3 linked regions of the Schizosaccharomyces pombe genome follow. The gene in region 1 interacts genetically with each later gene. Each region holds a gene or a part of one and is shown on either strand. Other genes may lie near its edges.

Region 1 (6,490 bases):
TTTGCAAAACTATTGCAGCAATTGTAACAAAAAAGTTTACCACACCATCTACAATGATGTCTTCTCCGAAACCAGGTAAAAGGACCACCACAATTATTGCACTGCGCACTTTCATCGTCCAGTTGCCAAATTGCCGCCGGCGTTTCAATGAGTAAGCGTCTCAAAGCCTCTGGATAAGTCGTCTCATCCTCGTCCATACTCAATTTGATAAAAATTCATTAAACTATGTTCGAGAGCAAAAAGTTGAGTACCCGCTAGAATGGTGTTGAAAGTTGCCTCAGGAGATAAGGTCAAAACAAAAGGGTAACTTATACTGATCAAAGGAATATGATTACCGGTGGAAGTGGAAAACTCACTGCATATCGCAAAATAAATTTTTTAAACTTCGTTAACGTAAGAGAATAAGATAATAAGTCATTTAGAATATCAATTGTAGTAAATATCAAAAAGCTATCCAAGAAGAATAACTTTATCAGAAATTACGCATTTAAACATCTTTTCTTTATGTATGTTTCATAGAGCTCAGAAGCAAATTTAGCGCCGTTTCATTTAGACCTTAATATAACGATGTCAGCGTGTTTGATGAAAGTTGACTTTCTTCGTTATTATCAAGCTTGGTTTGAGGCAGTATGACATTAGATCTCTGAAATTTAAAAATTGTCGAGAATAGCTTTATGAGTTGAGGTTTCAATCATCTTTAGTTTCTTTAAATTTATTGAGGTTAGTAATATGACAATATAATTTGTTTTTATGTTTACCTCCATTGCACATTTGAGCTTATTTTGGGAATTACGACGATGCTGAACTAAATTCTTCTCAAAATTCTGGGAAAGTGCCTGAAATTCTTCCAATGCATATTCTTGGGAAGAAATAGAAGAGATCTTACTATTGACGGACTCCAATTCTGCGTTTATACTATTATATTCCACCAACAGGTTTGACAGGTTTTTCGAAGCATCCAGCTGTAATTTATCTAAAGCACGAAGCTTCTCCTCTGTCGTTCTTAGGCTTTCTAAAATCACGTCTCTGAATTGTTGGGTCAATTAGCTGAAGAAACTTATGGACGTACTTGACACGTGCATTCAAAAAATATGAATGCAATGCACTATCATGATGCTCACTGAATGCTAATACTGCTTCAGATACCATGTTAGCATGGCGATTGCTCAGCTCTGTTTGCAAAGACGTTATAATTTCAGACATGTTGTGGTTCTTGATAACATGTTAATAGTGTCTACGCGTCTTTTGTTTACATCAAGCTAGCGATATATAGCGTACTGTTTTAGCTCACAAGACTTTCTTTGTGTTCAGTTTCTCTTAAAACATTTAGTCTTAGGTTTTTAGCAATAGAATTAATTTTTTAGCACAAAGGCTAGAATGAAAGATTGCTTTTGGCCATTGAAAACGTTTTATTTACCTAGATGTTTACATTTAATCTAACATACAACGGTGGAATACGGTTGAATCAAAACAAAATAGTGACAAGGGGAGGTTGCTGTTTTTTCAACAAGATTGAGATATTGCTTTCTTATTTATTCTCCATTACTTGTTTTGTAAGGACTCAATGTTTACGGTGATCTTTGAGTGAGCAGTTAGGTAGCGTTATCTATCGTAAAGTCGTTACTTGACTGAATCAGCACAGTACTTTAGTATTTGCAGACAGCATACCTGATAATACGAATTTGCTTCGTTTATTTTATATTATCTTATTTTTCTTTAAATTATAAAAGCATTTCCAAGTAGAAAATTGGCTCATATCTCTACATCATCAACATGGAGGACCCCTTTTATGAAGTCAAAGCGTAAGTTGTGCAATGATGAACCAGAAATGTCTTAATAGATTCCTTTTGTTGCTTTAAGATTTTATTTAACTGACATTTATTCGAAATATAGGGATGCATCAAATCAAATGGAGCAAGTGCGAAAGCTTTACAATTCTTTTATGGCCGCACGAAACTCTGGAGTCCTTTCACCAAATACTGAGCTTACTTACGCCATTGATGAGTTAAGCGAAACATTGAAGGACTTAAAAGCTGCTGTGGAAATAGCGATGAAAAATTCTGAGCATTTTGGGTTAGATGAAGAAGAACTAAAGTCGAGAAGGAGATTTGTCTCGGAACTGGATATTGAGTTAAACAATATACAGTTAAAGATGGGTGCTGCCCCAAGCACACCAGTTTCTACAGAACCTTATACTGTTGACAATGGTGCCTCAGCTGGTTTGTCTGAAGAAGATCATGCTGTCAATCGACAATATCAAGAGCAGCTTTATCAGCAACAAGACGTAATGCTGGACGGGGTTTACGACACGATTGGAAACATTCGTGGGCAGGCAGCTTTGATGGGCGAAGAATTGGGTCAACAGGCTGACTTGTTAGATACTCTTGACAATTCCATTGAGACCACTAATAGTAAGCTTCGCAGGGGTATGAAGCGGTTGAAAGATTTTACGATTGCAAGCGCAGACTCTAAATCTGGATGTTGTATTACCGTACTCATTATCATCTTAATTGCATTGTTGGTATTGGTTATTGTGCTGTAACTAAATCTTTATATTGTATTATTTAATTCTTTGAACCATCTTCCCAATAAACGAATAACCAATCATTCCATAGGTAACCTCGAGCTTTGGGAAGACAAAAAAAATTTCATGTCTGTGTTCTCGTTCCTTAAATTAATTAGACTTCTTGGACTTTTTGGAAGGTGGTTCTGCGATTTTTGTGTTAGTTTTACAATACATTGACATCTATCATATCATCTATTCATGCTTTCGCCTTATTTTTTTAAGACCTGTTTTCGTACCTTGCTTTTCTTCGTCCCCTTCTTCGTCTTCTTCGTCTTCTTCTTCCTCATCTTCCTCCAAATCTACTGACTCATCCTCATCACTCGCTTCTTCGGTCATGGCTTCTGTAAAATATTTTACAGCATTTGGAAAAAGATCCTCTGCCAGAAAAATTGTGAGTGTTGCTCCATCAAAATCATCGTCCTCTTCCTCTCCGGTCCATTGAAAATAGTCAAAAAAATTAGGAGGTAATTTTTTATTTTTTCTAAATAAACTCTTTCCTGGTTTCCAATGTATATCAACAGGTTGCGAAGTATACTTGGTTATCTTTTTTTCCAAACCCTCATCATCCTTTGCTTTTTCCTCTTTAATTCTCACTTCTTTTACCAAGGTAAGGTTGTCGTCCTGAAGATATTCGTTTGGTTGAAAGGTAAGCGAAATTCGGACATCCCTTGGTTCCTTTTCATTAAACCTTTCAACATAAATATTTTCGAGTTTTTCAAGTAACACACTATCTTCAGGTGTTATGTACTGGCCTGAAATAACTTAATTAGAATTTCAACAATGTTTAAACAAAAACAATAATAGTATACAATTTTACATACTGATTTCATCCCCAGCAGCTTCCAGAACTACTACCCAAAAGTTGTTAATGGTCTTCAAAATATCACGACGCTGCTCAAAAAGCGGTTGAAAAAGCTCATTTTGTTTCTTCACTAGCACCAAGATACATTAGCAATTGTTAACACATTTTTTATAAAAAACGTAATTTTATGCTACAAAAATGCAAAATCGATTAAACATACATATTTCGATTTCTGCTTTTCCAAACTCTTGCTCTAGGTTTGCGAGATTTTCAAAAGCTTGAGCTGCCTCCATTTTGTAGGTTAATTTCGTGCAAGGGAGAAAAATCTAATAGTAATTCGAAAATTCTCACTTCGTCAACGATGATGAAGGCACTACCCTTACCACGTTTTTACGTACGATGAACAATGCTAGCAAAGTATATCAGAGGCTTTACTTTCCAATATAATGACTGCCGTAGCTTCTGTAGCTTGCAATAATTTAACCTTGACTTTTTCAACAGTATACAAACCATCCATATTACTAGTAATCGAGCAGGATTCTAGTTTTTAACTCACACCATTTTCATAGGTTGTTTTTATAAGTGTAATAACTTATTAGTCTGAACAAAGAGTAAAATTAGAAAATAAACTGTAGTTTGCGCGGTTTCGAGCTTTCAGGCTAGCGTGCTTGCATTTTCCAAACTTCTCCTGACCATGATGAAGAAAGGAGAGGAGGAAAAAAGGTATAACATTTCGAATGCAACTACAAATTTGTATTATATTGCATTATATGAAACGCTGTTATAGTTTACTGGTGTATCTATTTTATCAGTTATGAAGTATGTCTTTGTAGTTTAATCAAAAATCCATGATTATGGTAAAACAATGAAGAAAAGTTAACCAAACGCGATTAAAAGTTAAAACTTTTTGACCGCTTCACTTCAAACAATGAAGCGCTTTGCATACAAATGCAGATAATCATTATATCCAACTGTTCGTTATCGATTGAAGATCTGAAGTCTGATTCATCTTATCCAACTCAAAATTACATCTTAACTAAAGAATGTATGATCCGTGCCGATTATCGCATTTATTCGGCTCAAATCAATCTATACTCATTACAATACCAGTATACTGCGTTCTTCCATCTTTAGTATACCACGAGCGAGAAACTTCTTCCTCCAGCAAATTCGCGGCAAACAAGCAATTTATCTAAAAATCCAATTCAGAGGAAAGAAAAGAAATAGAATTGATAATAATTATATTTTCAAGTCCTATATTGCCGTCCTGATATAAACTGATTTGCTTTCTTTCCTTCCAGTTTACACAGGACGAATTTTCAACCAACAGTTTAATTGTGAATAAATATATTTGCTTCCTATTAAACTAGTAAATTATTGGCAACAATAGTTGGTAAAAGCTGTTCATGGATGCGGCGAAACGTCTGGAACTATGCAAGGAAATTCAAGAAAATGAAATTGAGGCCCTCAAAGCCATTTTTATGGATGATTTTGAGGAGTTGAAAGTTAGGAATGCTTGGAATGTATGATTAATGTTTGTTCACTACCCATTTACTAACAATGGTATCTTAGGTTACAAACGGCCATGTTTATTGTATACATCTATGTTCAAGAAGTGCAAACTCTAAAAGTATTGCGAAACTTGATCTTTGTATTGAGCTTGGAAGAAGCTATCCTTATGTGAAACCAGTGATCAAGTTACAAAATGGAGAAAATGTCCTAAACTCTCAGATTCGATTTTTGCTTGATAAGTTAGATACAAAGGCAAAAGACTTGCTAGGAGAGGAAATGATTTTTGAACTTGCCAGTATAGTGCAGGACTATCTTAATGATTGGCAGTCTGACCTCTCTTCTCAATTTGCTAGCTTGGAAGAGGAACGTGCGGTACAACTAAAGCATGATCGAGAGAGAGCGGAAGTGGATTTACAACTTAGGTTAAAACGGGAGAAAGATGCCTTATTTGAGGAAGAACAAACGCTTCAGAACAAAATTCAAGATGAATTACAACGCCGCTCATACGAAACACCGCAATCTTCTTCTAAGAAAAAGACGAATAGTAAGGAAACAACTTCTCTCGAAACCCTCCCAACTTCTATTTATTTTGATTGTTCTATATCCGTTAGAGACTGTCACGATTCTTTGGTTACATTTAATAGAGTGCTTCCTTTGTATACAATCTCGCATTCCAACCTTTCTACTTTGACTTTGGTCAAGCCTGAATCTAAAGAGATATCTTTACAGGATTGTGTTTTTCTACTTAGAACCGTCCGAATTAGTACGCCTTACTGGAGTACAGAAGACGGAAAACGTGAAATACAGGAATTAGAATATGAACTTGAAAGTCTGAAAGTTATTCGGCATGATTTACTAGCTTCAATTTATGAGTATCAACTGGAAAGAGAGACACGAGGTTATGGTTGGAGGTTGTACGTTTTGCAAGAATATTCTCCGAAGTTCACTCTGTTTAGTCTTTTACAAACCGTCCTTACTTTAGACGTTGAAACCGTTAGAGCTTTTTCAAACAATATTTTAGAAGGTTTAGCTGAGCTGCATCGTCTTGGAATTTCACACAAAAGTTTGCACTTGGACAATGTGGTGCTTTTTCATTCAGGCCATAGAACTTTTGCAAAGCTAATGGATTTTGGGTTTACACGCACTTTACGAGACATGAACGCATCTCATCCTTTTAACATTAATTCTCAATCCATTACCAATATTCTACCGGAAGGGCTGTATCCCCCAGAGGTTTCTGAGTCATCATTTGCAGCTGCATCGAGAAAAACTGACATCTGGTGTTTTGGACTATTAGTATTGCAGATGCTTTGTGGAGCTCACGTTTTGAATAAATTCTCTTCACTAAAACTGATTATGACTCATGTAATTCCTCTTCTTCCGGGGTCTTATCAAGATTTGGTTCGTCGCTGTTTAATGCGCGATTCAAGGAAACGCCCTAGCGCCATTGACTTGTTAAGTAGTCATGTCATTCGTTTGGGTACAGCAGTTCTTCCTCCAGTTGAGCAGGGTACCTTTTCAAAATCTGCACGCCCTTCTTATGGTGGTCAACAGGATGGAATTATTGATTTGTTGTACAGGAAAAGCGTTTCACGTTATGAAACAGATTT
Region 2 (3,723 bases), 890 kb from region 1:
GGCAATTTACAGGGCATATAAAAAACACTGACATATTGAGCTTGCCATTAAATGTGAATTTAGTAACGTTTTTAGTTCTGTTCCCTTTACTGTGTCTTTATTGTAAATATCACTTTAAATGCTTTCTTTGACTGTCAAGGGAATTATCGCCGTTCTTTTTACAAAAGCAGGCTCTGAGTGTTTAAATCTATTTTTCTTTCATTCCTGATAAAACTGAAGCCTTTTAATCTCCCTTTTTCTTACTTACTCTTATCCTTTGTTTTCCAGTTTTTTAATCCTCATTTATACTATATTCTATTTACATATTTTTTATACTTAAGTATTAAAAAAGGTGTATATTCTTTAGACTTTAGTTTTTAGTGTTCGTGTTTGCTCTGAACATATAAACTGCACTTACTTAGATGTATTTAGTATCAAAGAGGTGAATTAATTTTACGAGCAAACGGTAAAAGAACGTAAATGTGCTTATTGTTCAACAGACATACGTGTTTATTAAATTTTACAAGATGAAAGTGATATGAATATTTGTATTTCACACTATATTGAACGCTAAGCGAGCATCATTTACAGCTTAAGTCTATACCTAGAGCGTTTGGAAAAATTCAAAATTAATAAATCGTATAAACAAGAAGTAAAACTAAACAGCGCAGGAGAAACCACTAGATGCATGGATACATACTAACGATTGAACCTGGCAAAGTGTAATTGGACAGAATGAAACGAGACATATTGGAAATATAACGTCTAAAGATGAAACGCAGGACAAATTTGTTTGGAGGCTTGAGAGGAATGAAAAGGGAGCAAATACATGGAGGGAAGAGCATTTCCATTAAACTGCGCATGCACATTTTACTTTCCATGCTTTAATCATAGAAAAAGGTAACCAATTAAATAAAATAAATCCTTAGATTGTAAAAAGAAACGAAAACACAAAAATGATTAAATAATTTCTTCCTCCTCGGGATATTTTTCCTTTGTACGAATCAAGAGCTGTTTATTGATATGAGGCAATACACCACCGCCCGCAATTGTAGCACGAATTAAAGTGTCCAACTCCTCATCACCTCGAATAGCAAGTTGAAGATGTCTAGGTGTGATACGTTTGACCTTCAAATCTTTTGCCGCGTTTCCCGCAAGTTCCAAGACTTCAGCGGTCAAATATTCAAGGACTGCAGCACTATATACAGCACTTTTTGCACCGACGCGCATATTATTTTGAGTTTTTGCCTTTAAAAAGCGTCGAACACGTCCAACAGGAAATTGTAAACCAGCGCGAGCTGAATGCGACATTTGACCGCGTTCGCCGATTTTAGAACCTCCCTTACCTCCAACATGTTTACCTTTACCGCCTCCAGACATCATTTTGAATCGATTATTGCAATTGCAAAAAGCGAATGTTTTGTGTGTTAGGGAGAAGGCAGATTCGTGAACGCGAGGTGCGTGTCTTAATATCATAAAGCCGCGTACAGAGGGGCTGTACCTTTAAACATCAAGTTTTCGAATTTCTAACAACAGAGGATAAATTTATAGAATATTGACAAAGGATGAAACGTTTTTTTAATGTATAAAAAAATCAGCTAAATTCTTGAAACGTCTCATATTTGCATACTCTCATATTGTGGGTTTAATATTCATAGATGTAAGTTTATAAATACCCTTATATAATTTATTTAATCAAAAACTTATTTGATCCTTAGGTTTTCGCCTTTTCTTGAACATCCATAGGTGTATGGAGGCCAAACACCTTTGTACTAGTTTACTCAAACTTTTGGGTGCACTGCGGTATGTCGTACATTGTTAAGCATTATAAGAAATGGTTACAGTATTCGTTAATTGCTCTTACGTAGATACGGTACATGTCGTCAGTTTATTTACATCAAGAAAACCAGAGAATGCCTAACTTATTGACATGTTAACATTTGTAGTCAAATAACTGAAGGGTCGGTGCCTAATAATCTGTATAGCAAATGATTCAAATAGTTTTTTACTTTAGAGCTATATTAGTTTGTTCATGCTTTTTGCCTGATTGCAGGTTGTAGTTCTACTAAACTATATTCAACCATTTATCTTGAACAAAATCCTATGTCAACAAAAGACTTTTAAATAAATAAACTGCACTATTATTTAATTGTTATTGTCGAAAGCGATCAGTAACAGCAGATTAAGAAACTACTTTTTGACCAGCCAACTTGTCGAGTATTAAAACTAGCATTAGTATATATAATTTAATAAATACATTCCGACGATACTGCCTCTATGGCTTAGTGGTACAGCATCGCACTTGTAATGCGAAGATCCTTGGTTCGATTCCGAGTGGAGGCATATACATTATATTATATTCTTTTTCATGCGGAAAAAAGATTTCAAATTTTTGGGTATGATATTAATATGACTGTAACGTTAATAGCAAAGTGAGTGTTAATAATGATAAAATAGCAGCAAAATCTCTTTTCCGAGTAAGACGTTTTCCAGTCTAAATTTGGAGTCTGCAGTTGTTTCGCAATTCTTAATGTATGGTTATACTAAATACAAACTTTAAAGCTCTGATTTATGTTTGCAATAAACTAAAATAAAAGCACAAAAACCTTTACCCATTAATTTCAAACAACTTATAAACTACCGGTAAACTTTTTTTCTAACCTTTATAATTTATAAACTAGAATGTTTAATGTCTACGGCCATACCTAGGCGAAAACACCAGTTCCCGTCCGATCACTGCAGTTAAGCGTCTGAGGGCCTCGTTAGTACTATGGTTGGAGACAACATGGGAATCCGGGGTGCTGTAGGCTATTTTTTTATATCCGTCTTTCTTACTACTTGCCTAACAAGTCATGATGTACTCTCAAAATATGTTTGCATGCCTTGTAATATTGGTTATGGATAGCTCCTTCTGGACTTGATCTTTTGTAGCCAAGAACAATGGGTATAGACTCTGACCTTGTGATGTTGTAGCCACAGATTATAATAGGTATTTTCAAGTACAGTAACAAAAATCTTCTAGTTTTTTTTTAGAAAGGATACACCAAGTATAAGCAAATTCAGGAATTGTTGATTAAACTGTCAACTTCGGTAAAACTTTGGGCATAAGTAGTGTGGGAGCAAGTTTAACTAAAATTCTATTCAGATGTCGAATCCAAACCGCTAATTTTGCTCAACTAGCTTTTCATAAAAACCAATTCATAGTTTCATACTAATAAAGACGATTGTTTACTTTAAAACATACGTCGTAAGAACATATATTGCTTTATCGAAAGATAACAAATGTTAAGCTATTATATTATTTAACTATAGCGCAGATTTCGCTTCCTTTACTTAAAAAAGACATGTGACTTGTAGAAGCTTGGAGTGAATACGCAAAGGTACCTACTTAGACATTCGCGTCTCTCTTAGCTGTCAACATCAACAAACTGGCCCCGTATTGAACAGTATCTTACTTGTCGAAGGATTTGACTAAGAAAATTTTATTTCTTTATAGCAATATTCCGTTTTCGCTTAGAAGATTCTAGTCAATTGCCCTATTCTACTTACGCTTTACAGTAGTATCAGAAGACCTGAGTGGGATTTTGCTGCTAGTAGAGGCCATTCAAGTTAACTCCGTTTTGCAACATTTTAAAAGTTTTTGAATTGAATATAAATATCAATTGTTTGATTCCTTTTAGGATTTAATCTTTTCTTTTTATTTTTGTTTCGATTGAATCTTGGATTCCTGTCTATCATGTTTTG
Region 3 (5,591 bases), 1.4 Mb from region 1:
GGAAGAGATTTGAGATCTCTGATAAGAGTATCAAGGCTTTCAGGAATGGCATCAGATGGAGTAGTATCTTCAAGGTTATAAACGATCAATGCCAAGTCATAAAAAGCCTGAGTGGTGTCTTCTAAACGGCTTGCCAATGATTTCATTTCATCAGTCATGTCATCTTGGGGCAGCATTTCGAAAACCAAAGATAAAAATAGGTTTAAAGATCAATTTAATGCAGCACAAGTGCACTGAATACAGCAGCCTTCAATTTATTGCTGTCTCAACTGTATAATGGTTATGCTTAAACTACGGTACTTCTTCCAGTTCACTATTTGCAAGTGAGTTGGTTTAATTTTATAGTAATAAGCAAATTACAAAGTCTGTTCTACTAATAGAGAAATACTGAATTCATTATAATATTGATTCCTCCTAAATGTTCTATAAATATTAGCGTCAACAGACAAGATAACTTGAAATAATACTTTCGTTTAGTCAATTTAGCGAAAGCATCATTAGTACGATCTATTTCTTGACTTCCAGGTATACAAGTACAAAAAGCTTTAGCCTTCATGCAATATCACATCGTATTGCTTTAGCCCTGTTCATAGGTTTAACTATTCCGAAAAAGCTATGTATAATTTTTGACTAATTTATTAATAAGTAACCAAGTCAAACAAAAACAAGTTGAAAAGAAAAAAGTTTATTATTTTAAGTAAAAGCATTTAAGTTACGAGAAAAAACGATAAGCAACAGAAGGACAGTCGGAAAAGAAACTCGAAGTTTTAATAAATTAGGACAGTGGCCTCCACACCTTCGTACCTCCCTGTAGGTTTCAAAAGCTTTCATGATTATTGCCCTGCTAAAACCACACGATATCCATAATAAGAAGAACAAATCTGAATGTATCGGCAATTAATTGCATAAAAAAAGGTTAAACGATTAACTTAATTGCGAGTAAAGAGTTAGCTGAAATTCATATTCTTCACGGCACATGAAATAATAATTGATGGCAAAGGGAATTAAGGAATGAATTCAAAACGTAGTATTGAATGCCGGAAAAATGATTAAAAGAATATGTGTGACCTCCAACTGTAAGTCTATTTGAAGCGTAAGCATACCTAGTAAGAAATGGATAGAAATTGTCATTAAACTGTCATTAGTACTACAATCTGCTATCACTCTGAGTGCTTGAAGTTACAGATTCTGTTCCAACAGGAATAACAGATGCAGCCGGGGATGCTGTTGATTCGCTTTCAGTGACTGAGTTTATTTTTGAGCTCTCTCGTTTGGAATTCCTGCCATCTTTATGAATTACGCGACACCATCGACTATGTCCCGGCCATGCTTGATGCTGGCATTCTTTACTGCAATATTTTGTACGTCGGCATCTTCTGCATTTAGCAAATTGACGACTGTGCTCTTCCCATTTGTTACATAACAAATTGGCGCATCGACGTATACCACCATGACTTTCATCTTTCCGACAGTAATTATTCATGATAGCTCTGGCCCAGTATTGAACTTGTGGGGGGTAGAATTTCAAGGTGAACTGCTCGACTAACTGAAAAATATTCCACGTTTTACTGCCGCTACGTAAGGGCGACATACGTAAACTTGGAACATCTTTAGAAGACTCGAAGTAAGGACGCATATGGAAATAGTTTTTACTAGTATAAGCAAGAATTTGCAAACCAAAAAGTATATCTTCTTCACGAGGGAGTTTATTAATCTTCTTATCAAAGTTGTCAAAGAATGAGGCAATCCCGTGATAATCAACTACATTTTCGGGCCTGCGGCCATCTAATAACGCAGATGTAGAAGGAACACCAGGTAAAAGTTGATTACGACGCTGACGATTATTCAAGGCCTGTGATTGAACATTATTTAAAGACAATTGCACATCCCGTGATGAATCCTGAGTAGTAGTCATAATATTAAGCGGAGTTGGAAAGAAAAAATTTGGAGAGTCTATCTCGTCATTAATTGTCTCACTAGCAGGGCCTGTTTGACGAGAGTATGAAGGAGAAGAAGGGGTAGTCATGTTATAATTAACATTTTCAGTAGAAGTAGGAGTAGAGGGTGCAGCTGATGAAATTCTTTGAATGGTTAATGGAGAGTTTGCTTGAACACGAGGATCTTGAAATGAATCATTTGAATAAATGGAGCCGGAGGATCGATCATGACTAGTGGTAGAGCTTGATCCCAATAAATCACGATTCACGGAATGTCGAAACGTAGATTGATTTGGAAGTTGGACATCTCCACTATCCCGTAAATCCACCGAATAAACTCTTCTAGAGCTAGAGCTTGCCGTACTAGCTCCAAATGGAGATGGTACATCACCGTTGACGAACAAAGAGTCAGCAGATGAATTGTGTTGAGACACAGAATCAAGAGAATTGCTAATATTAGAATTAATGGGGAATGGAGCAGATGCGGATGATGGAGGAGGGGTAGTAGAAGGTGTAAGGGAAAATTGAAATCGAGAATGGTGAGAAACAACGGACTCAAGCGCAAACAAAAAATCATCTAAAAGGGTGACAACAATAGGAACGATACCAGCTTCCACAACACGAATTCGAATAGCTTCAGACCCACGTATCCCAACATTTACGACACACTGAAGAGCTAGCTGCCATATTGTCATTCGGGCAAATGTTTGTCCACGTCCGGCACGTAAAATATTCATTAAACGCATCAAACCACCATCCATAGTAAGGATCTCACGAATTTTCGGTGAAGTCGAAGTCAAATAAACGAGATGGCTTAATGAATTCATTAATGACATTTCGGAGTCACAGTCAAGCGCACGTCGATCATAAAGGACTGTATTGATAGTGACAGAAGCTTTGTTATTCCATACGATGCTAACGTTCGATTCCCTCATCTTTCTTTAATAATATATTTAACACGTATAAAGTTTTTTAAAGACAATTGCTGCAGTATAAATTACTGGCAAACGCAAAGATTGGCGTAAAACGAACGATGTGATAATATTTTTTTTAGTTAAAGACAAGCAGTTTTCGAATACCAAAATTTTACTCAATAATTTTCAAAACTGCTGTGTGTAAACGCAATAACCGAAGAGAAAAACCAAGAACAAACGCCGATAGCAGGAAGAATAAGTAGTGCCCCAAAATCACGAAAACGAAAAAAAATAAAAATTACTGTTTTCGCAGATTTTAAGTCCCGCCGAATTTGAAATCCTTTTAAGCAATCTACACCAATTATTCTTCAAAACGAGTAAACGTAAAAGGGACTACGGTTAGCTCAAGCTTGAAGTCAAGAACTGATAAAGGAGCAAAAAAAATACTAAAAGAAAAAGGAAGTAAGGAGCAAGGGCACTTTTTTAGCCGAGAAGCGACACAGATCAAGTAAGTTCAACAATAGGAAGTATAACAACGAAAAAGTTGTAACCCGGGGTCTGCTAAAATCACGAGGCTAAAGAAAGAGAGAAGTGGCAAACAAAAAAAACCCGAGATTAACGAAGATACAAAGAGAGAATGAATAAGAATAGTTTGATGAAAACCACAATAACCTTGAAAATAAAAATAAAGGATATGCTCAGTACCTTTTTAGACAAGATTAGTGGAAAATCAAATCACAGCTGACAAGAGTAAGAGAAGAGAGAATAGCACAAGATGATTTGCATCAATTAAAAAAGTAAAGTTCGAAGAAAAATGTTAGGATTTGGAAAAGGAAAACGGTGGTGAAGCTAAATCAGCCTTGTTGATAAACAAAGAATAAGTGTTTTCTTATAATCGCAAGGATTTAGCTTAAAAACCACAGTAAATAGTTTTTGCAAGTCCCTTAATTTTAATTGAATGAATTCTTTTTACGAAAATTTCCCGGATCCTCGTTCTCTTATTCAGATTCTTGGAAGTGGCAGTTGACAGAAGGCAACTTCATTTCACCCGAGTGTCAACCGAGTTTGAAAACGATCGTCAGTGAACGTACCTTTAAGGCACCATAACGCAAAGTATGCTGGGTTGTTACTGGCTATAATGGTTGGGAACTCTCGGCGATCTTTGATGCTGGATGTTACCTTTGAAGAGATCGACATCTCGGCAACAATAACTCAAAAAACTTGCTGCAACTTTAACTAGCAACAGTTGGTATTTCTTTCACTATAGTCAGTCATTTTTTATTCATACGAACATCTTTGTGTCTTTAAGTTTTTAGCAGAATCTGTGTATGAATTTTTTCTTTTAAGTCAAAATGTTGCCTAATACGTTGGTCGCATAAGCCGATTTTTGTATTCTGTAAATTCACTTTAGCAGAACATTTGGGTAAACCGGTCCGAATAAGCTGTCAGTGCTGAAAATAACCAATGTCAGATTTTGTAATCTCATTTGATTGACAAGTTCATCAGATCAGCACAACTCCAAACCAGCCGCTTCTTTACCTGTGAGTCCTGCCACTTTGAGTAACAAAACTAAAATTAGTCGCACTGGTAGATACTCGATCGTATGTCAATGGGGCAAGGTAAAGAACAATCAATTTATAAATATAAATATGTACATATTAAATATATTTTGGATTGGATTTTTCATTTTATTGTATTTTAATGTGTTATTTACGAATTGCGTTGGATTCTTCAAAATTGTCATGTTTACAACTTTCTCATTTCTACAAGTGTGATTCCCTCAACATAATATCCATAAATTTTTCGCTTATCTTGCTTAGTAAGTAAACTCAGATCGAAACTCAAGGTTAATAATACTAATATGGATTGCTTGTCTTATTTCTACGCGCCATTCCGGCCTTTCAAATGCAAAAACAGTTATTTTATTATTATCCGAACAGTCCAAAGCGCTGAATATCCTCAACTTCGTAACAACGTCCATTTACATGACCCATTGCCTCGTAAACAATTAATTACTAATATTTTACACGATTACTAAATATTAAACTGATAGCGCCAATAAATGTCATATGTAATCTAGGCCTCCAGCTTCTTTTTAGCCATTTCCTCTTTCCATTTTCGCGAAAGTTCGAGCATTTTGCGCATCTTATCTCCTTGATCAGTCGCCGTATCCGGAAACAGATAGTCCAAATATTCTTCGAATGAACCGTCTTCAAGTCTACGGCGTTTCTTAACAACCTGTGGCATTAGTGAAGAGACATGCTTACGTGTATCTTCCGTGCCATGCATTGCCTCAAATTGTTTCCATGCTTCAAGTAATACAACTCGCTCTTCCTTCAAACCCTGCTGGCGTAAATGGGCCAATGCATTTTCAAAAACATTTCGCGCACGCACAACAGCGGTTGGAGAAGCCACTTCTTCATTCGGTGGTTCTTCGTCATCGTCCTCCAGATGGGCAATTTCAAAGTTTGCAAAACTAATCCAAACTTTAACATGAGGTGCAGTCCGTAGTAACTGCTGGTAAATACTTCTAGCTTTTCCGTATTCCATTTCCTCGAATTCAAAATCAATATAAGCCTTCCACACAAGCTCTGGGGTTTCCAAAATAGGCTGGTTTACAGCCAAATTATATAAAGCGCGAGCACGATCACTATCTCCAAGCTTAGTCTCTAAGGCAGCGTAACCAAGCCAGGGAGCACAAGCCTCGGGATCATAAAGAATCCATTTTTCATAAAGAATT

Evidence for each region.
Region 2: mutations in ccp1 (region 1) and pht1 together harm fitness more than expected from each alone (negative genetic interaction), as found in Schizosaccharomyces pombe (3 studies listed by BioGRID, with this or other methods).
Region 3: mutations in ccp1 (region 1) and mub1 together harm fitness more than expected from each alone (negative genetic interaction), as found in Schizosaccharomyces pombe (2 studies listed by BioGRID).

The regions. Positions count from the first base shown.
Region 1 is NC_003423.3:2,391,901-2,398,390, forward strand, and holds ccp1 (CENP-A histone disassembly chaperone Ccp1), read right to left. Parts: upstream 3,682-6,490; 5' UTR 3,662-3,681; coding exon 3,589-3,661; exon of another isoform or gene 3,499-3,588; coding exon 3,388-3,498; exon of another isoform or gene 3,319-3,387; coding exon 2,803-3,318; exon of another isoform or gene 2,710-2,802; coding exon 2,675-2,709; 3' UTR 2,543-2,674; coding exon of another isoform or gene 1,894-2,542; 3' UTR 1,803-1,893; coding exon of another isoform or gene 1,774-1,802; 3' UTR 1,669-1,773; exon of another isoform or gene 1,658-1,668; intron 1,607-1,657; 3' UTR 1,572-1,606; downstream 1-1,571. Other genes in the region: pib1 (ubiquitin-protein ligase E/phosphatidylinositol(3)-phosphate binding protein), read right to left, coding at 1-197; protein mug20, read right to left, coding at 651-704, 759-1,026, 1,070-1,203; tlg1 (SNARE protein Tgl1), read left to right, coding at 1,774-1,802, 1,894-2,542; eIF2 alpha kinase Gcn2, read left to right, coding at 4,775-4,891, 4,941-6,490.
Region 2 is NC_003423.3:1,501,703-1,505,425, forward strand, and holds pht1 (histone H2A.Z-like protein Pht1), read right to left. Parts: upstream 1,743-3,723; 5' UTR 1,360-1,742; coding exon 940-1,359; 3' UTR 501-939; downstream 1-500. Other genes in the region: cytochrome c oxidase assembly protein Shy1, read left to right, coding at 3,716-3,723. UniProt on the Schizosaccharomyces pombe protein: Variant histone H2A which can replace H2A in some nucleosomes. Nucleosomes wrap and compact DNA into chromatin, limiting DNA accessibility to the cellular machineries which require DNA as a template.
Region 3 is NC_003423.3:3,766,106-3,771,696, forward strand, and holds mub1 (armadillo-type fold protein, zf-MYND type zinc finger protein, Mub1-Rad6-Ubr2 ubiquitin ligase complex Mub1), read right to left. Parts: upstream 3,880-5,591; 5' UTR 2,873-3,879; coding exon 1,148-2,872; 3' UTR 501-1,147; downstream 1-500. Other genes in the region: mediator complex subunit Med10, read right to left, coding at 1-176; protein Cwf4, read right to left, coding at 4,928-5,591.